Astyanax mexicanus: one gene and its partners. The protein of the gene in region 2 interacts with the protein of the main gene of each other region in a pairwise test. Links are inferred from orthologs where the notes say so. Each region holds a gene or a part of one and is shown on either strand. Other genes may lie near its edges. The genes, in order: kifc3, creb5b, efemp2a and spred1.

Region 1 (7,193 bases), on a different chromosome or scaffold from region 2:
TTTGGATGGTGTGCTAGTGCTGTGGCTGCGTTCATTCTGATAATAGCAGCACTTCTCCCACTCCGCTTCTGTTTAAGGTGTTGAAAAAAATAGGTCGTGCTGCCTACTTTAGAAGCAATCGGTTTTAAACACACCTTACAGTTAGGACTTGTTTGGTCCACGTCTGACGCCGCAAAACCGAACCCACTAAATCAGTTGAAGAAGCGCATTTCGGCCTGACAGTACACAGCAGGATTAGCCAGCAGACTTTGTCTGAGGGAGGGATCTGTACCTACTATCTGTCTCAAGTCAGCAGATGAGGGTGTAAGTGAGATGTAACTACTTTCAAATATTGAGTTTTCTGTTATCGCAGCATTTATCGCAGTTATCGTGTTTTGCCATTTAGCACAAGCTAACACGAACGTGTGATAAATGCTCAGCATCAACATGTGGCATCGCCAGCAACAAGTTATTTGCATAAAAGTGACACAGCCCTTTAATGGCTCATTCTAAAACTGACTGAAACTGGCAAGATTATAACTGGTGAGATATCTATCTTTATGTGAGACTGATTTTGTGCAAAGCACTTTATTAACTTCATGTTTTGTATAGCCCATAGGCCTATTCTAACTTAATAGTGACAATAATATTGTTTATTGCAGTATCAGCTTGCACAGCACATTATCCAAAACAACAATAGATTATTGTGATAGGTCTAGCCACATCTACAATGATCTAAAAGTAACATATTTAGACAATTTAGATATGAAGACTAATTAGTGGGTAAAGAGATAAAAGCAGGGTAACTGATTTGATGTGATGTTTTACAGATTGGGTCAGCGGCCAGAGAGAGAGTTTGAATTAAAGTTGGATTAGTAAAGAGATGGCAGCGTTTAGATAAACTGCGTCCTGCTTACATAACTGATCCATTCAGTCAGCACTGAACACTGTTCACTGCCAAAACATCAGATTTACCCTTTATACCAGGAATATAATAATATTACACGAGCAGCTTCTCACCAGCATCGCCTTTAAAAACCCTGGACCCAGGTCAAGGTCAGATCAAAGAAAGCTAAATAGAGATTTTAATCAGATTTACGCTTCATACCAGGAATAAAATCATCAGAGAGAGAAAGAGTTAAAGAAATTCCAGAGAACAGTTACACAGTGATAATATTCCTGCGAACACACAACTACCTCCACCCACCAACCCCGCCCAAACCGATATCCCTGAGTCACTCATTTACACCACTTTAGCAGGTCAAACTCCTCCACAGCTGATTACTGCAGAACTGCTGACACACCAACTCTCCCTCCACCGGGCCATGACGGACCGCTCACACACCCAGACTGAGCCTTGAATAAGACCTCACCCTTAAAGACTCAGCAGAACCGATAAAACAACACTCATAAATTAATAAACCACAGTTTTAAATATGTTTTTTGTCTTGCATTTTCAAACAACTACAAGACTACTTGAACACAGTCGCAATCATACCAACACAACACTCAGTAGAGCCATTCCAATCATACATTACCTTAGCAGTGCTATTTCAATCATAGATCTCTCTCAGCAGTGCTATTCCAATCATTCATGTACCTCAACAGTGCCATTCCAATCATACATTTACCTTAGCAGTGCAGTTCCAATCATACATTCACCTCAGAGATGCCATTGCAAATCATACATTTACCTCAGCATTGCCAATCCAATCATACTTTTACCTCAGCAATGCTATTCCAATCATAGATATAGCTCAACAGTGCTACTCTAAACGTGTTCCTCAGCAGTGTTTTTTATAAACATAGCTCAGTATTGGTGCTATTTTAAATCATAAATATATCTCAGCAGAGCTTTACACAGAATCACTATACACAAATAATGCAGTAAGTCATTGGTAAACTAACCAATGCTAAGGCTAAGTTAGCTCAGCTAATGTTGCTATCCTAGCCCTGTACAGCTCGAAACTTCCTAATCTGGGAAAACAGCGAATATGCAAGTACAGAATAAAAAAAAAAGGAATACAGTGCCATGGGCTGAGGAAACATTGCGATGTTACTTCAAATTCAAATAATTTAGAATAAATAAAAAAAAATATATGATAAAAAAATGAAATAAAATAATTTATTTTGTCTTTTTACTTAAACATAAAAAACATTTTTTTTTATTTCTGGCCAAACATTTTCAATCTCTTTTTAATCCTTAAAAATACGCCTTCGATATGAGCACCACAAGTGCTACAAGAACCATTCTTGCCATACTTTCCAAAAAGCACTTCCTTGTTTTTAATATTAAATATTGAGGCTAATATCAGGTCAGAACTTCCTTATCGCTCACCTGGACTCTCTCGCAGGGGTCACCTGTGTTCTGCAGGTGTGCTCTGCTGCTTGGTTTCCTCTGCCCGTGGGCTCCAGCGGTTCTGTTTCTACATTCACTGTGTGGAGCTCTAGAACTTCCAGGCAGAGGGGGTCTGGCCCGCTTCTTTCGGCCCAGCTGAAGTGCCTCCTTCCTGGGCTTCTGTCTGTCCTCCAGAGCCTCAGCCCGAGCTGGATTCTCGCGGGCCTCCAGCGCTGTGGGTCGTTTGAACAGGCTGTGGATGGACAGCAGGATGAGCGTGCACAGGACGTACATGGTCTCGGCGGCTAGTACCAGGACGTTCGGTTCATCCGTTGCTCCGCAGGGAAATTTCCCTGAAGGACGTTACATCTGGAGGATAAGAACACTATCCTCCGGTGACTGTTACGCTCAGCCAGAACAGATCCTTTACTGAAACACAAACCTGCTGAAACCCAAACGCCCAGAGCTCGGCGGAGAACAGAGCCCTTAAATGTCCATCAAAGACTGAAAGTGGATATTTACACTTCAGACAGTTCTGTCCAATGATGGTTGTTGATTGGCTTTCAAATGTTCTTCAGGAAAAATGATAAAAACAAAAGTTTGGATGTCCAAAAAAGTCCATTTTGCAAAGCAATTAAAATAAAAAGCAAAGAAATAGTAGAAAAAAAGTGCAGAAAGTTATTCAGAAAACTTCGCTTAAATCTTAAGCATCTAAACCAATAAAATACAATGTTTACTTTTCCATTATAAGATATTCAGACTGAAAACTGTAGATGAAGACTGTAGAGCTCTTTTAAAAGAAAACCAAGCAAAGAAAAAAAAAGATACAGTTCTTCAGTATATTTAACAATATTTAAAACCTATACTAAAAATGGGGAGAATCCCCAGAAAATGTTCAACTTTCTCCTACATTTTTGAAAAATTGTTAAATTCACATCTGGAAGTATATTCAAAAGAGCTACAATCTAAACTGTTAAGCAAGAAGCTATTGCTAAAAAATATGGGGCAAGATACTAAAAAAAAAGTTCAATGGACCATTCTGTCTGCATCCCCCAAGAAAAAAATATAAAAATAGTTGACAAAAATATAAGCTAAGAACAAAGAAACACAAAAACAACATGGGTAACTTTTTCCCGTCATTATTATAAAGTATTTTCAAAATGCTTGACTTGTTAAATTCTTTAGTATATTCACAGGATCTATAGCCTATACTGTAAAGCAGGTAGCTATTTATATTAATAAGAAAGTGGGGTAAGATTCCGAAATGTTTGTTTAATAGACAGTTCTATCTGCTTCGTTTAGTCGTTAGTAAGCGCTAAAGACAGACAATAAAAATATAAGCAAAGAACAGAGATACACAAAAACAACATGGGTAAATTTTGCCTATTCCTTTTTTTTCAAGGCTTGTTTATGAATTCTTCAGGATATTCACAGGATCTATAGCCTACACTGTAAAGCAGGTAGCTATTAAAAAGAAAGTGGGGTAAGATACTGAGATATTTGTTCAATAGACTTTTGTGTCTGCTTTTCCAGAAAAACTAAATTAGATGTTCAGTCGTTAGTAAGCGCTAAATGAAGGCAAAAAAAATAAAAGCAAAGAACAGAGATACACAAAATCAACAAAGGTAAATTTTGCTTGTTAATCATTATAATGTATTTTCAAAAAGCTGGACTGTTAAATTCTTCAGTATACTCACAGGATCTACAGCCTATACTGTAAAGCAGATAGTTGATAAAAAAGAAAGTGGGGTAAGATACCGAAATATATGTTAAACAGAATTTTCTGTTTGCTACTCCAGAAAAAAACAAAAAACAAAAATAGATGTTCAGTCGTTAGTAAGCGCTAAATGAAGGCAAAAAAAATAAAAGCAAAGAACAGAGATACACAATAACAACAAAGGTAAATTTTGCTTGTTAATCATAATCATAATGTATTTTCAAAAAGCTGGACTGTTAAAATGAAATATATTCAAAAGATCTAGAATCTATACTGTTAAGCAAGAAGCTATTGCTAAGAAATATGGGGTAAGATACTAAAAATATATGTTTAATAGACTGTTCTGTCTGCTTCCCCCAAGAAAAACAAAAATTAGATGTTCAGTCGTTAGTAAGCGCTAAATGAAGGCAAAAAAAATAAAAGCAAAGAACAGAAACACACAACAACAACAAAGGTAAATTTTGCTTGTTAATCATAATCATAATGTATTTTCAAAAAGCTGGACTGTTAAAATGAAATATATTCAAAAGATCTAGAATCTATACTGTTAAGCAAGAAGCTATTGCTAAGAAATATGGGGTAAGATACTAAAAATATATGTTTAATAGACTGTTCTGTCTGCTTTCCCCAAGAAAAACAAAAATTAGATGTTCAGTCGTTAGTAAGCGCTAAATGAAGGCAAAAAAAATAAAAGCAAAGAACAGAAACACACAACAACAACAAAGGTAAATTTTGCTTGTTAATCATTATAATGTATTTTCAAAAAGCTGGACTGTTAAATTCTTCAGTATACTCACAGGATCTACAGCCTATACTGTAAAGCAGATAGCTGACAAAAAAGAAAGTGGGGTAAGATACCGAAATATATGTTAAACAGAATTTTCTGTTTGCTACTCCAGAAAAAAACAAAAAACAAAAATAGATGTTCAGTCGTTAGTAAGTGCTAAATGAAGACAAAAAAAATAAAAGCAAAGAACAGAAATACACAATAACAACAAAGGTAAATTTTTCTTGTTAATCATAATCATAATGTATTTTCAAAAAAGCTGGACTGTTAAAATTAAATATATATTTAAAAGATCTAGAATCTATACTGTTAAGCAAGAAGCTATTGCTAAGAAATATGGGGTAAGATACAAAAAATATATATTTAATAGACTGTTCAGTCTGCTTCCCCCCCCAAAAAAAATTAGATGTTCAGTCGTTAGTAAGCGCTAAATGAAGGCAAAAAAAATAAAAGCAAAGAACAGAGATACACAATAACAACAAAGGTAAATTTTGCAGTCTATTTTGTGAAGACGATTTTAGATGTAGAGCAATACATAGAGATGAATGAAAAGTTTCCACTAAAACACTGTTTTGGAAAACACCAAAGGACAGTTTTAAAAAATGAAAACCAAAAATTGAAAGGTCTGGAGAGTCTTTCGATAACCTTAAACAGCCTTCAAAAACAAATGTCTACTAGGAAAAAATGTCCAACAGTGGAAGTGTCTTATAAAAAAGTTAAAACACGGTTTAGGAAAAAAGAAATCGGAAAAAGGACAGCCCTAATATTCTTCAGTCCTTGATTTCTTTTCTTTAGAGCATCACTTAAAGTGAGTATACCATCCTTCAGCGATGTAAAGCTGTTGTCCAGACTTCGTATATCCTCCACAGATCCTTTGCAGATCCTCCACAGATCCCTCGTTGCCCTCGTTGTCCTGACCGTGAGCTGTCAGGAAGAGTGTATCAGCTGGACAAGCAGAACGGACCAGGTCCCTAATGCTGGTTTACGCATTAGCTAATCCTCCAGCGCTCTGATAACTAAACAGGCAAGCAGTCCTCATCTGTCGCCCTCGATTGGAGAAGGTGTGTAAGGTATTTAAACACACCTTAAGCTGTTTTATCGCTCCAGCTGGTCACCTTTGACCTACCTGGACACACACAGGCACACCCCTGATACAGCGTATCACCACTTCTCAGGAAAACCCATAACTGTTAAACTGTTACTGATTGAAGTTCAATATTCCTCCTAGGGTTCACTCCCATTCAGAGCGTCACAGGGTGTTACGGGTGTTACGTGACCCGGCAGATATAATCCTCTGGCTGTTCTGCAGAATACAGGACAATCACACGGCTCCATCATCTGCATCAAAACGATATTCCATTTTTATTCAATGATGAAGATTCTCCAGACTGAAGAAACAGGTGGTTGGGTCGATCGATTTTGTCGATGGTAATACCAGACAGGAAGAAAGAACCACCACCAAAACTCTCTCTTATAGTTTGCCTGCCTGTTCCTGAACAGTGGAGCAAAGTCCTATGCCTTCCCACTGAGAGGGAGAAAAAAAAGAGGAGAGAATAGCCCCCCTCCCTCCATCATTCATCCTTTCCCCTACCCTCCCTCTTTCTATTCCGTCCATCTGTCACTCTGATGTTGAGGACAAGTACGACAAGACTGTATTCAATATTTACTACTATATCTATAATATTAGAGCTGCAGCGATACTCAAATATCACAATATATGATATTAACTGTGGGTCAATATCTAAACTGACAAAGTTAAAGTAATACACATGTCTAAACTCTACAATATGACTGTATTTAGTGACAATATTTCCAACATAAGAGCTTAAATGATATTCAAATGTCACATTATAATTACAATTAGGGCTGGGTGACATGCACTTTCATATTTTAGAGATGGAATGATAAGATCTGCTATGTATTGGTATCAACAAACTGGGAGAAAAGAAAGGAAAACTGACACAGCTAATTGGAACGCATCATAATCTATATTGATATAAACAAAAAATTGTCTCATCTTGTATCTTGTATGAAAATATGGTCACATTTCTTAAAAAAAATATATATATATAATTGCCAGGCCCTAAACTTAACTGTGATGTTTGCAGCAGTATAAAAGTATAATAAGCAAAGCAAACAACTTAGTTTTTTTTTTTTTTTACTAGAATAACGCTTGCCCGAAGAACAGGTACAGATCCCTCCCTCAAACAAAGTCTGCTGCCTAATCCTGCTGCGTACTTTTAGAGATAAATCAACCAAAAAGACAGAAATCGCATTTCTACAACTGGTGGGGAGGTTCCATGTTTGTTTCCTTAATGAGGGGCATCCAAATAGCTCATGGAAGCAAATGATTTCTGACACCAAACTCTTTT
Region 2 (7,419 bases):
AATAAAAGTAAGATAAAAACTGTAAATGTGCAATTTTATTAGAACTGTTCATAGTTAACGTTCTCAATGCATTTAAGCAGGACCCTGAATCCACTGTTGAATGGTGAAGGGTGAAGATTTTGCCTTTTTTATTCCACGGTAACAGTGATATCCTTTCTTTAACCTTGTGCAAAGCAAACCTGTGCCAGTTAAAAAGAGCTACAGACTGTTTTTTACATTATCAAGTTACAGCAGTATCACTATTGCGGTGACCTTGAAGATCAGTATCAAAACTTGCCATATTACTTTACCTCTCTACACTATGGGTATTTAGACCTTTGTGTAATATGAATAAGGTAAGAAATGTATCATTATTTTATTTATTAACATTGGTTCTACTGTCAGCTTCAGGTGCGTGCTCTATTCATATTTATTTATTGTTATATATTGTATTTTAATTAGCACAGATTATCTTCATACATCTTCAGCTCAGCACATAATATATTTAACATATACAACAGGTAAATTAGATGTGGTATAGTTCTGTGATTAAATGTTTATTAATTATTTTAAAAGTGTAACTGTCATAATTTGTCTAATAACGTAGATGTGTACACTGTATGTATAGTGCAGTGTATAGTGATTAATAAACATTATTATTGGGTATTCTTACCTTTAAACAGAGAACACATGTTTTTAAAGGTATGATAAAGCACTTCCTTTTCATAAATAAGGTACCGTGTGGTACGACTGTGTTACGATGTTACCTGCATCATATTACGTCTGCTTGGAAATTATCTCAGGGCAAAGAAGTCACAGCTTTGATTCTGTAACACCATCTTCTAAATCCAACACTTGCGGGCAGACATAATCCTGCCAATAATTTATTTACCCACTGGCACTTCCATTATTTAGTATGAACTGAGACACTGGTGAGCCTGGCACAATTAGTCACGCTGGCCTGCTGACCAGGGGATGAAACCAAAAATGCCCCAAGTGCAAGAGTGTACCAGTGTGTGTGTGTGTGTGTGTGTGTGTGTGTGTGTGTGTGTGTGTGTGTCAGATAAACTGGAGACAGCATCATTTAAAGTAATTCTAGTACTATTGCTGCATAACACACTATAACAGTGGTCCTCCTTACAGATAAAAAGATGATGTTTTCTACAAGTAGAGCAATGATCCTAAATGACCTAAACCCTATTTTTTTTTCTCTTGTTCTTGTGGTCAGAACTTGATCATCAATAGAAGGACTAAAAGTTGTGCATGGCAACACATGGGTTAGAATTTATAAATCTCGCAGCATCTACTTTTTGTTCTGACAGTCAATCCCAAAAAAGTTTTTCAATTAAAAAAATCAAGACATAGGAAAGAATCACAGTTCATGTCAGTTATGTAGTTCTCTTTGAAAGTTTTCTTGCTCTTCCATACTTGTACTTTTTGGTGTTTTTATATATTTATAATCCTTTTCTAGTTTTGTGTACATATTTCCATCATCATATTTCCATCATTGTCATATTTCCAACAGTTATTGTGTATAAACCACCACTCTTAACAAGTTAACCCACATGGTGCTCCTTTCTTATAATAAAAGTAATGAACAAATCTTATTAAAAATGTCAAGAAGAATATTTCTTCGCAATCTTTATGCTATTTGGAGATCAGCTCACCTTTATGTCACTGAATTATTTCCAGTAACTCGAATTTTGACCATGGGGAGTCCAAATATTTGCAGACCATTGTGGCTAGACTGCGTCTAATACTTCTGTCAGTTCCTTTAGAAGAGTAAACGTTTCAGCACTTGTGACATTATATTGTTAGCCACTGTTGTACTTTTATGCTCTGCCCAAGGTTAAATATAGCCAATTTATTGATATGTGTGTTGTGGAAGGACGCGTTTTCAGACAGGCTGTCTAGACAGTGGCAGTGAAAACGGCTCTGTGTGTGAGTACAGCTCTCTTGGTGGAATCGTGTTTAAAGCTCTAGAGTTGAATGTCGATTCCCAAATGCCTGGAATCAAAGAACTGGCTTTTTGGTGAATTTGTTCCCAGCCCATTAAATTGATAGGACATTATAACAACTACAGTAGTTAACTACACAAACAAACCAGTTAGCCATAATATTAAAACCACTACTTAGTATGTGTTTGTCACTTTTTTTGGGTAGTGTGAACACTGCATACAGGGATCAGCCCACAAGACCTGCCTGGTGTTTTGGAGATGCTCTAACCAAGTTTTGTAGCCATCACAATAAATGCACAGTGGCTCAGATCATTATGATGATCCTTATGATTGCCCTGCTTCTAACACAACTACCTAATATATCCCTCCCCTAGAAAGGTACAGCAATAAAATCCATTTATTCATCTGTAATCAGACTAAGACAGTACTGGAATATAATTATCTATTATAATATTGTAAATCAAATGTATTATATACTTATATATTTTATTAAATACTTATCTCATTACTACATGGTTTAGAGTTCCAGTGACAGAAATATGTGCTTTAACAGGAATGCAGTTGGAGGTGTATGACTATTGTATTAATTTGCTATGTCTTTCAATTTTTTTTTTGATTAGTGCTCAAAATGTGCCGGTACTAACCAGTTAATAATAGGCATCTCTTGCTTAGATGACAACTTTGCACATCTTGATATTTTCTCAGTCAGGTTTATGAGGTTGTCACCTGGAATGGCTTTCAGGTAACAGCTGTGCTTTGTCAAGGGTTAATTATATTAACTCTTTAGGTAATTTAAATAACTACTTGAGGAGGCCACATAAAAGCTTCACAGAGTATTTGGTTTTGTTTAACACATTAAGTTTGCTACATGGTTCATTATGTGTTCCTTCATAGTATGGATGAGTTTAATATTAATTTACAATGTAGGAAAAAAAACATTGAATAAGAAGGTGTGGAAACTTTTGACTTGTACTGTACATAAGTTTATAATAAAACATAGCACAAAATTAAGGAAATTTGTGTTTGTTAGATTATTTCTTTGTTGTAACAATGCTTCTTATGCTTCTTCCATATCATTGAAAATACTGTTAATTATAAATTTAAATGCTGCCACATTTGTAAGAAACATGCATTTGTGAGATGAACAGCAGAGCTGAGTATGTGGGTTTGAGATTAAGAAAAATTTGCCAAATCTTCTCTGCCATTGCCAAACAGCTTATATTGCTGTTGCTTTTGACACTTATTTTGAGCTTCTGGTACAGCCTGATTGGCACCTTATTGGCAGCACCAGTGAGCCTGGGCACTGCTATAGTGGTCAGTAGGTATCTGCTCCAAGAATCAGCTTGCTACGTTTGACAGATGTGGATAGGACCAGTGCAATAGGGCTTCAACTTCAAACTGGTGTTCCGCAAAAACAAGTTGCAGCATTATTTGAAGTGATCCCTGGTAGCATTTTCAAACTGAAGGCCAGGTTCCATATAATAAGGGGTTTCAGGGACAGACAGAAAAGTTTGCATCCCAAGTAGAGACTAACATGCATGAAATTAACATGCTTTCCAATGAAATAATCTACCAAACACAAATTTTCTCACTTTTTATGCTATGATTATATTATTTTGCTCTGGTTTAAATCACTTGATAATTTGGTGTCACGGTTGGGAGCAGGAATGAGACATGCAAGTATTTATTAAAATCAAAGGAATAAAGAAATAAAAAAACAGAAACTAAAGGAAACACTGATCACATAGATAACATAGGACCACGAAACCTGAATGACATTAGATGTACAACCAAAGACAAATAACACTGGGACAAGGGAGACTATAAATGCAAATGGACAAAAAATACAAATAAAAAACACCTGGGACCGGGTAACAAGGGGGCAGAGCTAAAAAACGAAAAATGAACATGTGAGCAACAGGGGCGGAGACACAGAATAAAGACAGGGCATGTGCAGAGGAGGGTAAATAAACCAGAGAGACGCAAAACCAGACGAGAAGGTGACACTTGGAGCATTTTGGAGTCCAGTTAAACTTGAGTAAAAAGTGCTAACACCCATTACAGACAGTACAGGTCCTAATGACAATAATACAAACTTTAATGTTTTTTTTAATGTAAAAATGTTTGCAGTATTTGCATTAAGACATTTTATTATAATTATTATTCTTTCTTTATTTTTTATCATTTAATTAATTGTTTGATCCGTAAGTGATATGAGTCGTCTATTTTTCACTTTAAAGTACTTTAAAACTCAATGTCCTGCAAGAAGTATCCTACTATCTCCAGCCTGAACTCAGCCAGCTGTGAGCTGTGAGTGTTGCGGCTCCTCCTCGACCCCGCCCACATCCCTCAACCCCCGCCCCGTTTCCACGAAGCCCCTCCTCGCGGACCGCAATGATTTAGAAGTTCAGGAATCCCACGTGACGTCACCGGAGGGTGATGTAATGCTTCTGTAAATAGCTCGTATTGTAATCTCTCCTCAGTCCAGCGTGGTTCCTTCAGAAAGGCGCTGCATCTTCTCCGCGCTGCTGTGGTAAGTCTCCAGGCTGCTGCTGTGAACTGTGTGTAGACTTTTCTGCTGCAGGAGAAACAGAGAGAAAGAGAGAAAGAAAGAGGGGAAAGAAAAGAAGAGAAAAAACAAACGCACGCTCGCGGGCTGCGTGAACTTGAGCTCGTGCCGTTGGCGGTGATGATGGCCGTCCGTGCTCTGGAGCTCGAGCGCGGGTGACAAGTTGCTTTTGTGCTTTGATGCGTCCCGGGGATGTTTTTTTCCCTGACGTTGTCGTTTGGTGCTCCGAGTTTTTTGAACGTTTGAAAACGTTCCTTTGTGAAGTTTAGCTGCAAGTAACAGGTTTGTGTTCGCTCGCGCGTGTTTGTTTGCATGAGGAGCAACAGCAGAAACAGCAGGAGCTCGTGCCGTGATCTCCAACCGGCATTTCTGCGTTTATCAACGTTGAATAAACGTCAGCGTCATATTAAGTTCATATCACCGTTTTGATTCTGAAACATAAATCAGTGTTGGTGCTGAAACATTGTTTTGACATCTTATCTTTTTTTTTAAACATTAACTAAACTCTAGCCAAAAAAAACTTTCCCTATTCTTTCCAAAAGTATGGTGGTTCGATAGAAGGTTTACTAAAAACAGTAGTTCTGTATGTACAGAACAATGAACACCATGAAAAACTGTGCATGTTGATGAAAAGGTTCCTCAGATGGAAGCAGAACAAGTAAAAAAAAACGTTGACAAGTTTGTTCACACACTTTATTTACTTTCTAGTTGGAGTTTAAATATTTTATCTTGTGATCAAAATGTAATAAAGTGGTGATACAGTCATAATAATGATCATATTTACAAGATACATACATCACGTTGAGTGATGTTCCAAGTTAAAATTTCAACATTGATTTATGTCACTTATTAACCTTTTCATAGAAATTATTTTAAACATGTTCTCTATTTTTTAAAACTCTTGAATGTAGATATTTTCTTTCTATTAAGTCATACAGTCAAAATATAACAATAAGATGTTAAAAACATAATAATGATCATATTGATACGACAAAAACATTCCACTAATAACAAGTTGATACAGCTGACATTATTTTAACTATTTCAACTTTGAAGGTCGGTCATGTGCCAGCTGGCTAAACTTTGCTTTGTTGTTTTGAAGTTTATGTCACTGAAGTTCTTGCTGCTGCCCTCGTCAGAGAACCGGTGCCCAGATAGTTAACATGCATATGTGGTGGTCTGTATGGGTAGCTTAATGGACCCGGCAAGTTTTGTTCGTAGGCTTTTTTTTTTCATACTGGCTCATGAACATTGGATGTGGATGTCAGTGATGGGACCTGTAGGGGTTGGTTAAACGTGGGCTTAATCTGGGTTGTACATTGGGTTGCATGCACATGGAGCGTGGATGAGACCCATATGACACTAAGGTGGTCGGACTGTGTGATATGGCCCATTTGGGAACAAAGTAGCCCAAAACACGTGCTGCTACAAACTTATTTCTAGCCCATGCCCACATGAAAGCCACCTAGCCCATGTTGCACCAATATGAGCACGCTCACTCGCGTGCTTGTTTGTTTGTGTCTGTCCCGGTCGGCCGGGCTCGCGCTCTTGCTCTTTTCCTGCGCGCGCGTGGTGACAGCAGCTGCATGCACGCTTCTGCCGCTGCTGCTGCATATTGTGGTGTTCCGTGCAGGCACATGCAACTGGTGCGCGCGGGTTCTCTGGGACCTGTACCCATTCATTGATCCGCGCCGCGCGTGCACATGCTTCCTTGCCTTCACTGTGTGCTCGTGCCGCCTTTGATATGAAAGACCCCCCGGGTTTTGCTGCTCTGTCCCGCAGGAGGGGCAGACACAGCGCGAGCTGACAGCCAGCAGTCTAGCAACCCACTGTCTGTCTGTCTGTTTGTCTGCATGCATGCATGTCTTCCTGTCTGTCCCACTGCGTTTAGATCTGCGTCGCTTTGAATCTCGCTCGCTCTACAGTATAGTTATCTTATCGCGTTTGTAAATTTCTTTGTTTTTTTTTCAGTAAAAACACGCGCTCTGCAACAGAGCATGACGTCATGCTGCAGGCCAGCCCGTGTGTTTGATTAAGCGCTGAGATACTGAAGGATTGAGGGTCTTTAGTGCTGAGCCAGCACACCGGGGGGTTTCAAAAGCCCACAGGCTGAAACACTGTTTATAATCTACAGTCCCACTCACTAATGACGTCTAGACTCACTAGCACGAGCAACAAATCAAGTGACTAATTAATGGTATTAACACTATTATTGTTGATTTCAGCTCTTATCATAATTAACCAATAAGAGCCCAGACCCATTTCTGAATATTGATGCCAAATTCAAAATTAAATCAGATAAATTCAGTGAGCAGCTCATTCATGTTTTTTCTTATGGTGGCCACATAACATGACTGTTAATATTTTAAGCTTAAAACCTTGATGTTGCACAAATTACACTTAACAGCATTTTCATAACTTTTTATTTTAACATTTTGTTCTAGCAAGCATATCAGAACTAGTTATACGAAACATAAAACTAACATTCATTTAAAACATTTGTATTGTTAAATGTTTAGAACAGATCAGTAACAATAAAAAGTACACTTTAAAAAAAGAGAGCTACTTTTATCTCAAATACTAACCAGGCACACCTACATTTTGTAGCTAACTAAATAAGGTCAGATAAATGAACGCACATTAACACACTGCCCTGTAGTGATGCTGTCAGGATGTTCAGTAGCTATATGTCGCTTAGAAACTTCATGAGTTCAAAGTGAAGGACCTTAGCTTTTAAAGGGTGTTAAATTAACAGCGTTTATGTTCATTTCACACTGCGGGTGTTAAATTGTAAGAACCACAGTGTTAATCTAACACGAACAGTATTAATTTAACACTAGCAAATTAACCGTGTGCTACTGGCAACTACTACTATGTTTATAATATCTGTGCATATCAGATTTTTTATTTACA
Region 3 (7,023 bases), on a different chromosome or scaffold from region 2:
ACTTACAATAAGTCTCAAATATCAGATTTTGAGACTTGATACTGAAAAAAAAACATCTTGATTTTGACTTGGTATTCATGACTTATACTTGGCTTGGGCTTGAGATATATCACCTAAAATTATGTTTTTTATATATTTTTCTGTATATATTTGTATTTTTATCTTGTTACCTGCTTGACTTGTTACGTGCAATGGTTTTACTTGTCTTGATTGACTCATAGCTGGAAATCAGTTTCAGTCAACTGAAACTTGAAGGTCAAGTTTGATGATTAAGACTTGAGAAGTGATTAAGACTTGAAGGTTATGATTTGAGACTTGATTAAGACTTAAAGGGTAAGATTTGAGATTTGATTGACTTATAGCTGGTAATCAGCTTGCTTAATTATCACCATAGTAACCTGAAACTTGAGGGTCAAGTTTAAAGATTATGACTTGAGAAGTGATTGAGACATAAAAATTAGGATTTGAGACTTAAATGAGACTTGAAGGTCAAGACTTGAGGCTCAAATAAGACTTGAAGGTTAAGATTTGAGACTTGATTAAGACTTAAATGGTAAGATTTGAGATTTGACTGAGATTGACTTGATAATTAAGGCTTGAGACCTGATTGAGACATAAAGGTTATGATTTTAGATTTGCTTGAGACTCAAATGGTAAGACTGAGATTGGGATTGAGATTTACTTAAGCCTTATTCACACCTCTGTCTAAGGCTACAGTCACACATTTGGTAAAATTAGACCAAATATGATCTTTTTTGTCACTTACATGTTTTTTTACATAGCAATGTGAATGACAAAAAACACAAAACCTTTTTCCACCTTTTGAATTTAAAGTTTAACCACTTCTTTGTGGATTTTATGAAATTGAAATCCAATACATATATACAATAAGCATCAATGCGACTCAGCCTAAACAGCCAGAATGAAATTCATGCAACAGGAACCCTGGAACTTTGAGAGCTACTTTGATGCTGGAGAAGATGAAACAAAAACCTTATGGAAGCTTTGTTTTCTGTGCGTAGGCGCCAGTTTAACAGTTTGGACTGAACATCTGATGTAGTTCACATTTAAAATATAGTGGGAAAGGACTAAGAAAAAAACATTTTGGCTACTTTACCTGCTATGTGGACATCTCCAATAGGGCACAAATGTAGGGTAAGGTATGAACTTTCAAAGGCCTGACCCCTTAAACTCTAGAACACAGTGTTTCACACCAAACCATTCTGAAAGGCTTAATGTACATCTACAAATATGTGTTCTTCTAACCAGTTCAAACCAGACATCACCTACTTTTTCGAATTCATTTTTACTGTTTTTCTACCAAGATAAACAGTTTTAAAGAAATTGCTGAGGTGTTTTTGCACAGGTCTGTAGGCGCGACTGCCCGGCATGCTTCTTTGCCGTTGAATGAATGCTGGAGTCAGCCCTGAGCCATATAAAATAATGCAGCCAAAAGTCAGTAATTGCAAAAATATACAAACAAACGTGATGAAGCGTTGCGTGAACATTCGGTGAAGAAGTGGCCTGTGCTTGTACAGTAGGCCACTGTTCTGAGTCGTGACACCATGCTGGGGGGGTTTAATTGTACGTGTTTTTTTTCTCTCCTTGTTATGGCACCTGTGTTTTTTTTTTCAGCGGGGCCAAAACGTGTTTTTCTTGAGCTGTTAACTGTTAGCGCTGCTAAGCAGTAGACATGTCATGATAACTGTTTTTTTTTTTGTTTTTTTGTATTGGATGATATATTCTATATTCTCTCAGAAATAATGATGCTATTATGCTATTACACCCTTGTGAGAGACAATGAACATTTGATTAATAATAGTTTGAGAGGTGAATACTTCAGTCATGTTACTGATGCATGGTTCAATGCCTGACTGAATAAAATATTAGTGACATTTATTTGTATGTTAACATCCATGATGGACAATGGATATTAATTGATAAGTATGATAGGTCCATAACATAATTATAGTGACAGGCCTACTAAAGTGACCAAAGAGTCACTTTAAAAAGCCTCATTTGTTGAATAAAACTGGACAAATCAGCCTAAAACTATAGATAGACAATCCTGAAAGTACAGCCACTCACACAGTTCCAGCCTTTTCCAAGCTCCTTTTTTTATAGTAAAAGTTGCCCAGAGCTGCTGCTCTAGTGGGGGTCTAAGAGAGGAGGTGAGTGACATTAGTGCTGGTTGTGAAAGAAAGCTGGAAGCGAGGTTGGAAAGTTTTGCAATAGTATAGTGTGTACATGAAGCGTGATGCGTAACAGTAACAGCATCCTGACGGTTGGGTAAGAGACACTGGAGGACTAAAGCCACGAGCGTCTGGCCCGTCTCAGCGGGGCTGACTGTAAGAGATAGGATTGCGTGACGGCTGCACAGTGAGGGTATTCTGGGTCATTCCAGCACTTTTGTGGCCGGAGTGAAGTAGCACCAGGGCGCTGAGGCTGTGAATGGTTGGAGTGGAGCTGTGGAGCATGGGTGACGTACTGAGAGCCTTCAAGGAAAAAATTTACTTTTCTGTTGTTTTTTTTCTTCTGTTTCTACTGTATCTTACTATCTTTCCTCTTTATGCAGTATCTTACTCATCTATTCTTTTCTTTTTCTCCTTTCATGAGGTACTGAATGTCTTATTCTCACCTTCTATATTGAGATGATAATATTTTAGTACTTTTTTTTTTTTTACTTTTATTGTAATCCCTTGTTTAGTGAATGTGAAATCTGAAGCATGTTGTACTCACAGGTCACTTCTCCTCCTGTTGTGGCCTTGGATTCTTGTGGATTCTCTCTGTCTGTCTCTCCTCTTTTCTTCTCTTCTCTTCCGGTGAAGGTTTCTCTCCCTTCTCTTCCTCTTTTTCTCTCTGTCTCTCTCTTCTTTAGCTGCCTCTTCCTTCTCTTCTTGTTCTTCTCCTTCTTCCTTGTTCTACCTCTTCAGCTTGACTGAGTGGAGTGTGGAGACGGACAGCTGGAGTGTATGAATGTATCCCGAGGAGGGCGAGACGGAAGAGAGGGACAGCCCATTCCGACCCCCCCTCTAGGCCCCCTGCGCCGCCGTCCTCCGCCCCCCAGACACCCCTCTGACCACCCCCCACCCCTCTCCTCTCCTCCTCTCCTCACCCCCCAGGATGAAAATTCCTGGTCTGCGGCCCAAATTCCAAAATTCCAAATCTGTCCGGTTTGCCGGCAGAACAACAGTGCACAGATTCACACAGTCACAGTTACACACACACACTTACACACACACACACACATTCGACCGCCCCCCCTGAACCCTTCCTCACAAACCACCACCACCAGCAGACCCTACACATTTACACACACACGCACACTTAAACACTCAAACACATACATACAGAGCAAATACACACAAATAGTTCCAACGCACCTGGTTTCATTTAAACTGGCCCCCCACAGCTCGCAACTTTCTCTCCATTTTTCTCTCCATGTTTCCCTCCCACCTCAATTCACCCTTCATCTCACCCATCTTTTTTCCTCCCTCACTCCACAGCCAGATATTTATATCCTTGGGAGAGAAGCTGGTGGAATGCGGAAAGAAATTAGCAAGAAGAGTAAGGAACGTGAGAGAAAAAGGGAGAGAGAGAGAAAAAGAGAGAGAAAATCAAGAGAGAGAGAGAGAGAGAGCGAGAGAGAGAGAGAGAGAGAGAGAGAGAGGGTGAGTGTGCTAAAAAGGGAGGAAAAGACACACGTCTACTTGGAAAAGTCATCCACCTCTTTTTTTCCCTCCTCCTGTCCAAATATTTAAACTGGAGGTCCTCGCTGGATGATATAAAGACAGAAATGTTTAGATGTGAGGCGCTGTAAAGAGTGACACTGATTACACCTTTATTTCATTAACTCCACAGCCATAGCCATATAGTGCACTCGCTCTATCCCAACTCTCTCACAGCTCTCACAGCTCTCACACTGAATCAATTTCCTCCTACAGAGCTGCATGCAGCACAGGAACAATCCAGGGTTTTGTTCTGCACGTTATTCACTGTCTAAATACAGGCCCGGCTGTCCATTTCTGCAGAGTCACTGCTTCACGAGATGTGGGGGAACAGTAATAATTACAGTTCAGAAGTGACCCAAAGACATAGTTAATGCTCAACGAGATGTGAACCCTTAAAAAAAAAACAGTGTAACATTCCAGGAGGTGCTTTCTCTCGACTCTCAGCTTTAAACTCCAGTGCAGGAGTTGAGAGAGCATTCATTCGTTTAATAGGCCGTGTCGGAGGTCCGTTACAGGTCTGTCATTTTCAGAACACCCACAGACTCTATCTATGTACCTCCCACAACATGGTGACAAATTGAAGCCCCCTAGGTGGCCACACACAGACATCACATTGGGACTCCTGACACCCACACTTATTGGTTCAACTGTTCAACAAATGACCAGCGAGCCATATGGTTTAAGCATAAGTACCTATCCAGATACAGATCCCAATTACACCTGGTCCCTTCATGTGACTAGTAGGCCTGTGTATTGGTGAGAACTTTGCAATATGATATGTATAGCATTAAAGGGCTTACGATTAAACGATACAGAACGTTAGTGTTATAGCTGTTTATAGCTGCATTCATTTTATTCTTTAATTTTGCAGCAAATCAGTTTACATTTATTTTGTGTTTCGAATTTGAATTATGTTGAATTTGAAATGTTTGTGAGATACTGAATTACGTTTTTGTAGCATTGCACCTGTGATCACATCATGAGGTTAAAAAGTATATGAAGTAGGGTAGTTTGGTGGAGGTGGCTGGAAACAGGAGCTTAGTAAGACACTTTTTGACCACGCTCTTACTCAATTTCATCAATTTTATTAAATGCAGTGGTATTGGATCAAGGACTAAATCAGTTAACATTTAATTCTTAATTGTGACTTTAAAATGCAACAAAGTTAAAGGATACGTTCACATTAGCAGGCTGAAGTAACTCAAATCAAATTTTTTGCTCAATGTGGCTCAGATCTGATTTTTTCATGGCTGTGCCCAATCTGTTTTTTTTTTTGTTTTTTATCAGACTTGCATCACTTTCATATGTGGTCCTAAACTGGATATGTATCCAATCCATGGACATGCGACATAAATATGAACGGTCAAATCAGAATTCATGCGTCTTTTTTCTTTCATGCATGCGCTACAGGCTTCTGTCTCACATTTTCGACCTGAGCATGAACCTCAGACCAGCTGTTTTCTGTCCACTCCAGTAAAAGATGCTCCACATATGAGCTGCTAACGACACATCCATTTCCCTTTATAAAGCTATGAGTCGTCTCGTAAATATGGCGTTTTTTGTTGGTGGTAAAGAAGACAAAGTTTATGCAGGTATCAATGTGCGCATGTGAGGCGTTTCAGGAACAGATTCGTTCACATTACACACAGATACAGATCACTTTTATGAATGGTAACCGGCAAGATAGCCAAATCCTATCTGAGCAAAAAAAAAAAGTGAATTTGAACAATGTGGCTTGCAATGTGAACGTGGTCAAACAATGTGCATTAACCAAGCCAGGCCTCAGTTTTTATATCAGAGAAGAAATGGACAGAAGAAAGAGAGTCCATTTGCTCTAAGTGAAAATAGTACATTCTCAATGGCCTGGCTATCTGCACAAACCCACCGATATAAACTCCCGTTTCTATATTCAACATTTGGTTCCAGAATTTTACAAGGCTGTCACAATGGATCTGCAATGAGCATGCGGGCCAGTGTTTAGCCTCACTCACAAGATAACTCCTTACAACATACACAGTTAATGAATTCTCAGTGCAGTGCTATCCCATGACTTTTGGCATAGCAGTTTATTATCTCTCAATGTTAAAATGAAGATAACATATTTATGTTTCTATATGCATGTGTATATTTTTGTGTAAATATAATAATAATAAAAATAATAATAATAATAACAATAATAATAATAAGAAGAAGAAGAAATATAATATGAAGAATAATATATATATATTTCTTTAGTGGTAGGTCACGTTTACACTGTGAAAACTGTGAATTTTCCCATTAAGGGACTAATAAAGAATGATCTCATCTCATCAGTCATACAATCAGCATGCAACCGGTTCCAGTGCTGAACTGGCTGCATGTGAACTAAATTCTAAAATAAAACAAAAAAAGTTTAAATCAGATCCATTGTGATCATTTATAGCAATTATATAGCAATGATTAAATCATTTACAGTGAGGTCAAGGAGGACACAGCAGAGATTATGTGTAGAAAGCATGCTCTGTTTATTTACAAGCCATCCCATGATTGGCAGTAGCCGAGGGGTGAAAGAATGAGCTGAGGATAAAGGGGAATGGGGGGAGGGAGGGGAATGGGGGAGGGAGGGGGGGGATGGCCAGCTGTTGGAGGGAGACATTTGGGTGAGGATTAAAGGAGGAAAATGATAAACGGGGGATTTAAATAAAGATAGGGCCAAAAGGTGAGCTGAAAGGCTGGGCTGGATCCAGTGCAGTTTAAGATTAAGGGAGAAGAGAAAAGAGGACAGGAAGAATGGAAAAATACTATTCTTCACTCGTGATACATTCTGAGGATGCAGCTTTTGATAACTCCCATATACCTGGTCCAGACAGTCTGGTGCCTGAGAATAGAAGAGCGAGACAGATGGAAATAATGTAAGAGAGACGTTATGCTATTATAAATAGAAGAGCATTTCATTTAATGCTGTGTAACTGAAACTATGCATGTATTGTATTACGAGATGTTTTCACTTCTTTTCTGAGGTCTGAGCTGAATGCATCACTGCTTAATGTATCAGAACATTTAATGATATAAACAGAAATTCAGATTCCAGAGGGGTTTCAGTGTGACTACACAGGAAACTACAGGCAACTGACTGGAAAGTGCATGACACACAGAGACAGTGACCCCCACTGGCAGAACAACAGATTTCCACAGAACTCAAAACGTTATATTGTCTTTGTAAATAACAAAGAAATTATAATACACACACACTTACTTGAAAGTGTCGAGGATGTGCGCAGAGTTCGTGTAGTGGGTAAGATAGAGGTTAACA
Region 4 (7,509 bases), on a different chromosome or scaffold from region 2:
TTCTGGAACAATGCGAAATCAACACTGCGTCACAGGTGAGGCGACACGCTGTTAGAAATGGAAAACACACAAACAGACATGTATATAATCCTTTGTTTCTGGGCGGCTCAAATATCACCCACACTGTTAAGCGGGGATGTTTATTGTTTAACTGAAAGAGGAGGGAAAATTTGCTAAAGGATGGTGTCGTCTTGCTTCTTGGGCATGTGCTGTCTCTTCTTTCTTCTCCACCCTCCTCCGCCTCACCACACCAGCAGCATTTGCTGATCCTAAGCATTGCGCAAAAGGACTGTCAACAAGACTGTCTATACCATGAATGAGCATTGTGATGAATAATTAAAATAAAAATAAATAAATAAATAGCTGTGGAATGTGTAGATATCTGTGCTATATTATTGGAGATTTCCCTTCAGTGTAAAAAAGGGACAAATGAAACGTGAATGAATGGCATCATTTGTGGAAGCACATGACTAGTTCAAGGACACAGAGTTCCTAGCTACATGACATGAATGGATCTGATACAGGAGAGACATGGCAAGAGAACATGGGCGTATTAGATACTGACAGAGAGAGAGCCTGGGAAACCGTGAATGTGAATGTGCACGTCGTCGTTTACTGCTGCTGACAAAAATGGCCTAAAATAAGATGTACAGATATAGCTAAGAGTCAAACAGATGAATATTTGTCGTTGCTGGGTCTGTGATCTGCTGTGTGACCCCTGTGCTCAGTGTGGAGACACACTGTACAGTGCAGCTCAGTGTGAATGAGAAGCCAGGTACTTTATGAATGGAGGCGGTCACGTGGCCGAAGCTTTTCTCAGTGACTGTCAACAAGCGCACGCAAGCGATCAGCCCATTTAAAAAAAACACGGGCACGGAGGGCGAGAAAAGCACCAAAATCCGCACGAAAACAGCCTTACTCGCACTGTTAATCGAATATATTCCTTTATACTCTCAATTGGGCCTAATCTGAGCGACAAACACTGCCATTTTGGCGTTTTTATGAATGAGGATTGTGATATGCAAATGAGAGTGATTGAGAAAAATATGGCGTCCGCACAGTTTCTTTCAGCCTGACATTGCGGTAATAAAACCCGCAAACGAAACCAAATGCCACGTATTACATGTTCTTTAATACTTAAAAAAATCATATAACTGTTAAATCGAAATAAGGCTCTCAGCTCTCGCTCCAGAGATCGTGGATATGTTTTTATAAGGCGAAACCGCGTTTCATTGTGGGCAAAAAACACAAAACCGTGGAGTAGAAAAGACGTGTCTATTAACTAACTAGCTCAGTTTGGGAGCTTTATTCGTTTGAAACGGGTGTATTTTGTAACGCTTGTATCAGATACAACGTTAATAAACTTGTTACTTACGCTAGCCATCCACTTAAATCTAATTTACAACGTAGCGATAGTTATTTCTACGAATGCTTCGAGAGAACTACAGAAATTTTACTGTTAGCTGGTTAAATCGTGTATTTTACTAACTAGCTATCGAATAATGTAAATAAACTACTGTTAAATAATATAGCTAGTTAGCTATCCTAACTAGAAACGACCCAGCATACTCGCTAAATAGATAGCCTAGATGGTCAACTAACGCTAGGTTAGACAGCGTTAAATATCTGAATGGGCCTTTTTAATAAGGCAAATTTAATTCAGAAAACCATAGATAGATAGCTAAAAAGAAAACAAAAACACATTGTTAGCTAGAGGTATTTAGCTAGATAGCTAACTAGATAATATACACACACAAGTTTAAACAGCTAACTAACTAGTTAGGTTAGCTAGTTAGCTAGCTACGTTAGCTTAGCTATTAACCCAACTATACATTCAATAACCATGACAACAACTAAATCCAAGCTAACGCTAACTAGCCAAATAAAACTGGCTCAGAAACAAACAAAAAAAAATAACATTACGGCTCTGCTGGAAATATATTTTAAGTTAGCAAGCTAACTAACTTAACTACTAAAACCTTCGCTTTACAAACAAACCCGTGTAAGTTAGTTATTTTCTGATCTCTGTCATGCATTAAGACCACAAGAAACACACACAGAAACACACAGACATCCTCGGGGTCCAGCAGCTCAGAGGAACTGTGAACTGAGAGATATTGGTACTCACTCGTTGTTTGGATTTGCCGATTCTTCGCTCATTTTTTTCTCACGGGGATCCAAATCCTGGAAACAGCATCGACGACGCAGTCAAGGCTGGGAAACGATCCGCAAATATCACCATTTTCTTTTCGTTCGCATTAAAAGAAAGTGCCAGTTTTTTTTTGTTTTATTATTAATCACAAAGCAACTGTGTAGCGCTGGGGCGCTGCATGCTTCCAGTTTTCTCCCACAAGGCGAGTTCAGAATAAGAACGGCGACCGCAGCCACTGATCTCTATCTTCCCAATGAGTAAAATCCATTTGGAAACGAGTGGCTGTCCTCTTCATCCTCGATCTGCGAACACAGGCAAATCCCAGACAGAATTGCAGTCCTGATCTTCAGATTGCAAGCAAAACAAAGCGAGAAATAGATAGGTAGCTACTAGCTAAATCTGCCACGGTCCGTGAGCCGGCTAGCTGGAGATCGAGCTACGCTACGTTATACTATATAACTCCCCTCTCTCTCTTTCTCTCTCTCCCCACGGCAACTTGAAGTTTCAGCCAACACTAGAAAACACAAAACAGCGCTGCTCCTGTTTATAACTCTCTAGCTGGCTCGAGCGCAGGCACTCAAAAACAACGAACGAAACGATAAATATCTGTCCTTAATTGAGTATCCAACGAATTCGCGTTAAAGAAATAGCGAGATTAACAGAGTCTCCTCCTCGGGAAGTTCAGAAGATCTGTGCTGCTACACGAACTCCATTTTCAACTCAGGCAATGCACACCTCGGAAAACTGGGCGGAAGCGTTTGGCCTGACTTCTCCGCTGAAATCCTTCCGCGACGAAACCCGAATAAAACACCATTAACAAAACAGCAAACTCATTTTTAGACCGAATCAACTAGCGTGATTTGTTGTTTAACGAACACAAACGTTGAATATTTCCCACATGCCCCCACCCTCATAATAGCTTGATTCAGGGACGGGAAGTGAGGATTTCATATAGTCCCCATACCAGTTCCCAAAAGAAGTTTGGCCATGCAGGCAGCAGAGGAGCCCAAGCTGAAAGCGAGGAGAAGGAGAGCGAGAGAAGCTACACACGCTGGTGATGGACTCTCTGCTTTACATTATGCTTACAAGCAAGTAAGCAAACAAACAAACAAAAAGGAAGACATAAAGACAAATGCCGCCACTTTCATTTAGCGTGATATTTAGTTTTAGTTACATTTGTTTAAATACTTAAAAAGTATCCCAACTGGCTCTACATCGAATACATACAGCAAGCACCGTTTATGTGTAGAAGACATTCTTATGGTGTTAATATACACCAGAAACTACAGTCTATGTGATTGTGCTATATATATATATATATATATGTGTGTGTGTGTGTGTGTGTTTGAGTAAAATGAACATTTTTGACTTATTCCGTAAACTATGGACAACATTTCTCCCAGATTACAAATAAAAATATTGTCATTTAGAGCATTTATTTGCAGAAAATGAGAAATGGCTAAAATTGCAAAAAAAAAAAAAGATACAGAGCTTTCAGACCTAAAAAAATTGCAAAGAAAAAAATTCATATTTTTAAAGTTTTAAGAGTTCAGAAATCAATATTTGGTGGAATAATCCTGGTTTTTGATTACAGTTTTCACGCATCTTGACCACCAGTCTTACACACTGCTTTTTGATAACTTTATGCCACTACTGGTGCAAAAATTCAAGCAGTTCATCTTGGTTTGTTGGCTTGTGATCATCCATCTTTCTCTTGATTATATTCCAGAGGTTTTTAATTTGGTAAAATCAAAGAATCTCATCGTTTTAAGTGGTCTATTTTTTTTCAAGTTAGTTAGCTAACCTAGTTCAGTGCACTAGCTTTATAGAGACAAGAGCCATTGACTGTGATTTATGGCTTCTCTCAAAGTTCACACTTTTTGTTGTGTGAGCTCATCTGCAAGTGTGTGTTTTCCAAGTGTGCTGCTCAGTTTCTCAAAACTACAGGCCACATAAACACAGAGCTTTCTGAATTACACTGAATTAAAGCAGTGCTGGGCTAAGCTGAACTTATGCTGCCTTCAAGTCATGTCCGAAATATCTTATTTACGAGATGAGTGCACATAAATGCCACCACACACTTGTAATTACCAATGGGAAACTTGGATTTCTTGATGAGCCCTGACTTTCCAAGTTTTTGGGCGTGTCAATAAAAAAAGCTGATTGCTGTGTTTTTCATTGATTGTGTATTATTTACTAACACTGTAATCTATTTTAATGGTTTACTCTCGTTCACATGTGAAAAAAAAACGAATAATTAATTACATGCTACTGACACTTTTTTCCCATGCTGTTTCCAAACAAAACTTTTGATAAAATCTGAAATGTCACACTAAATATTTGACACTGAAAAACAACACAAACTGCAAGTAATTATTTTGTTTAATCATAATATACAGTACCAAACAAAAGTTTGGAAACACCTTCTTATCCAATATTTTTATTTTTATTTTATTTTTTTCCTACATAAAATTAATTCAGTAAATTCATACTGAAGTCATCCAAACTAAGTAGGAACACATAAGGAATCATGTCCTGATGAGAGCCAGTTTCATCATAATGTTTGATGGTATTTATGATTGCACTTAAGGATACTTTCAAAGTAAAAAAAAAATTGAAGTTGAGTAGTTAGCTCTTGCCATAATATGGATTAGAACATTACTCAAATAGGGGTAATTTAGTATGCCAACTCTACCTCTTCACAACATAACTGATGGTGTCAAACATATTTAATAGGGCAAGAAATTATTGTAGTTGGCTTTTGACAAGTTAACTGAAAGTCACTCCAGATGACTACCTCATGAAGTTGACTGACAATGAGAAGATGTGCAAAGCTGTCATCAAAAAAAATCTAAAACATTATTAAAAAATCCATGTTTTTCTTAATATTTTGAATGAGTATTAATCTACAATGCAGAAAATTTTAATTAAAATAATGAAAGAAACACTGAATTTAAGGTGTGTCCAAACTTTTGACTGGTATTGTATTCTTTGAAAGAAACACCGATATACCATCAGTTGTTCCATGACAGTTAAAAGTTCTCAAAAGAAGCAACGAGCATTAATCAGTGAAACAAAAGTGAGCTAGTTTCATTATGTAGTTGTATGTAAAGCTGCATATGAGTGAGATTGGACCCTTATTCTGTTTTATATATGTTAAAAAAATTATGCCATAACTTTTTTACACGCACCAGTAAAATGTAGAGTCCACTGTAAAATAAAGACAGTATTTATTTGATTAGGTTATAGGATTATCTGGATTAGGCCTAAGTGCCCTCTGCTGATAATCCTCTAAAGGGTAATAGAACAGGTTTAAACACTGTAGTTAAAAAACAAATTCATATGAGCTAAAACTGGCTGTGTGTCCAGATTTTCAAATGTACATGCCACACTAAAGGCAGACTTTTCTAACACTGAATTTAAGCAGAACTGAAATAAGCTTACATACCATAGGTACATATGTTATTTTTGGAAATATTGAGGAAGAGTGTCCACAAAAGGATAAGATAAATTAATATGATATAGAACAGTTCGGAAACCAAACACATATGGGCTACAGGAAATTCGACTGTTGGAAATCACATCTATCCTGTCCTCTAAAAGTCGGCAAGTAGTGCTGTGTACTGTCAAGAACGTGGCGATATGACATGATACACCGTTTATAATTCAGTATGTCAGTATCATAGACTGTATATAAAGATGGACGTCGTGTCGCGGTTCCCATTCATTCAATGAAAATGAAGCCAAAATCTTCCGCCATTTTGGCGATTCAGAGACCAGAGTCTGCGCAGTAGAGACCAAAGGAGGGAGAAAGGCTGTGGAGAGACCGCCTACTCATTTGAATAACCCCGCCCCTGAGGGCTGCCTCGCGGTCACAGACTGCAGAGCGGGGCGGAGCGGAGCTGACGGTCTGTTATTGGTCCCGCCCATAAGCAGCCCTTTTACCATAACCACACCTTTTTTGAATAGAGCCGAATAAAGTTTTAAAAACCGAATTCTGTGGGGATATAAAAATTTGACAATATAAGCAGAGGTTACATTAGCTGTTGCATTTAAATAATGGAGGTAGAATTACAGTATATTAGAAAAAAACGTGATTGAAAGTTGTCTGTTTTGCCATTGAAACCTATGGGGATGGGTGGAGTTACACAGCTTTCTGCAGCCGAACAGCAGGGGGCGCCCGACCTGTGGTGGCTTCACTTTTAAGAGACGATGCTCTGTCCAGCTATACACAGTCTATGGTCAGTATATAAACAGTAGGCAATATAGGCAATATATTGCAATTGTTTAAATCAAAATGTTGGAAAACCACTGTTTCTTTTTTACATACAGTATTAATTGAAAATACAGTATACAAACATTTAAAACAAAATATATCCATATTTTTGTTACACCCTAACAGGCAGCCACAAATAATATGATTTCTTTGGTTGTATTTGTGTCTTGGAGAAGCTTGAGATACGACTTAGCTTTGTTGTCATATATGAGAATTTTCTTCGTGTTTCTTTGGATTAGATAGAGCAAAGTTAAAGTTGCAACATTTGTATATGGAAGGCCAAACCAATTGATTCTCAAAGACCTACACCAACAACAGAGTCTATTGACATTTTGTCATTGATCCTAGTCTGGGTCATTAATACTAGTCCTCAAATCTGTGTAGTCCAAGACTGTGCTTTATCTCTGTCCTAAAAGCTGACCCCAAAATGTGATACTAGCACAGAGGTCAGATAAAGGTTTCAGCTTATTTACTTTGTTACTTAAAGAAGAACATTTCAATATGTATTTCTATTAGAGCTTAAGTGTGTAAACAGCAACTACCTGAAAATATCGAGCATCTATTTTCAGAATACAGTTTCCCATCATGAGCTACAAATCTCAAATAAAGTAGGCCTTGTCTCCCCTTAACAGAAAGACAATGAGCATCTTTGAAATTTCTAAACAGCATGCTTCTATCCTTTTGAGTATTTAGAGTTCAGGAAGTCAGGCTGCTTTCTCATCTCACAAATATGGATGTTCATGCATTTCCTGTGTTGATCACACAGCAAAATATACCAAACAGAAGGTCAACAGGATGTTTAGCTCGAAGGAGTCTCCCAGATATCCAGCAGAGGTGCTGCTGTTGGGAGAATTTTGGTTCTTAAATGCTAGACCATTATGGTCTTTAGGTTTTTGTACATCCTATACTGTCTACTTTCATAGCATTAAAACTGGAGCACCTTTTGGGATTAAATTTTGCCTTTGCTATGTGCTTTATTAATGAATACACATTAAATTATATAGCATTATTTATCTTTGGTAACATGACAAAGGGGAAAGTGTATTCTGCCCCACTAGCTTAGGCATTAAATATCTGACCA

Evidence for each region.
Region 1: the proteins of creb5b (region 2) and kifc3 interact in binary tests that used the Homo sapiens proteins (3 or more experiments, as listed by UniProt). The two-hybrid records come from large-scale screens. The link is inferred for Astyanax mexicanus from reciprocal best matches to the Homo sapiens genes CREB5 and KIFC3.
Region 3: the proteins of creb5b (region 2) and efemp2a interact in binary tests that used the Homo sapiens proteins (3 or more experiments, as listed by UniProt). The two-hybrid records come from large-scale screens. The link is inferred for Astyanax mexicanus from reciprocal best matches to the Homo sapiens genes CREB5 and EFEMP2.
Region 4: the proteins of creb5b (region 2) and spred1 interact in binary tests that used the Homo sapiens proteins (3 or more experiments, as listed by UniProt). The link is inferred for Astyanax mexicanus from reciprocal best matches to the Homo sapiens genes CREB5 and SPRED1.

The regions. Positions count from the first base shown.
Region 1 is NC_064416.1:4,392,318-4,399,510, reverse strand, and holds the start of kifc3 (kinesin-like protein KIFC3), read right to left. Parts: upstream 3,001-7,193; 5' UTR 2,612-3,000; coding exon 2,318-2,611; intron 1-2,317. UniProt on the Homo sapiens protein: Minus-end microtubule-dependent motor protein. Involved in apically targeted transport. Required for zonula adherens maintenance.
Region 2 is NC_064413.1:42,689,730-42,697,148, forward strand, and holds the start of creb5b (cyclic AMP-responsive element-binding protein 5), read left to right. Parts: upstream 1-4,397; 5' UTR 4,398-4,470; intron 4,471-7,419. UniProt on the Homo sapiens protein: Binds to the cAMP response element and activates transcription.
Region 3 is NC_064417.1:45,816,983-45,824,005, forward strand, and holds the start of efemp2a (EGF-containing fibulin-like extracellular matrix protein 2a), read right to left. Parts: upstream 3,019-7,023; 5' UTR 2,740-3,018; intron 1-2,739. Other genes in the region: fibpa (fibroblast growth factor (acidic) intracellular binding protein a), read right to left, coding at 6,519-6,588, 6,967-7,023. UniProt on the Homo sapiens protein: Plays a crucial role in elastic fiber formation in tissue, and in the formation of ultrastructural connections between elastic laminae and smooth muscle cells in the aorta, therefore participates in terminal differentiation and maturation of smooth muscle cell (SMC) and in the mechanical properties and wall integrity maintenance of the aorta.
Region 4 is NC_064421.1:14,570,683-14,578,191, forward strand, and holds the start of spred1 (sprouty-related, EVH1 domain-containing protein 1), read right to left. Parts: upstream 3,003-7,509; 5' UTR 2,161-3,002; coding exon 2,129-2,160; intron 1-2,128. UniProt on the Homo sapiens protein: Tyrosine kinase substrate that inhibits growth-factor-mediated activation of MAP kinase. Negatively regulates hematopoiesis of bone marrow.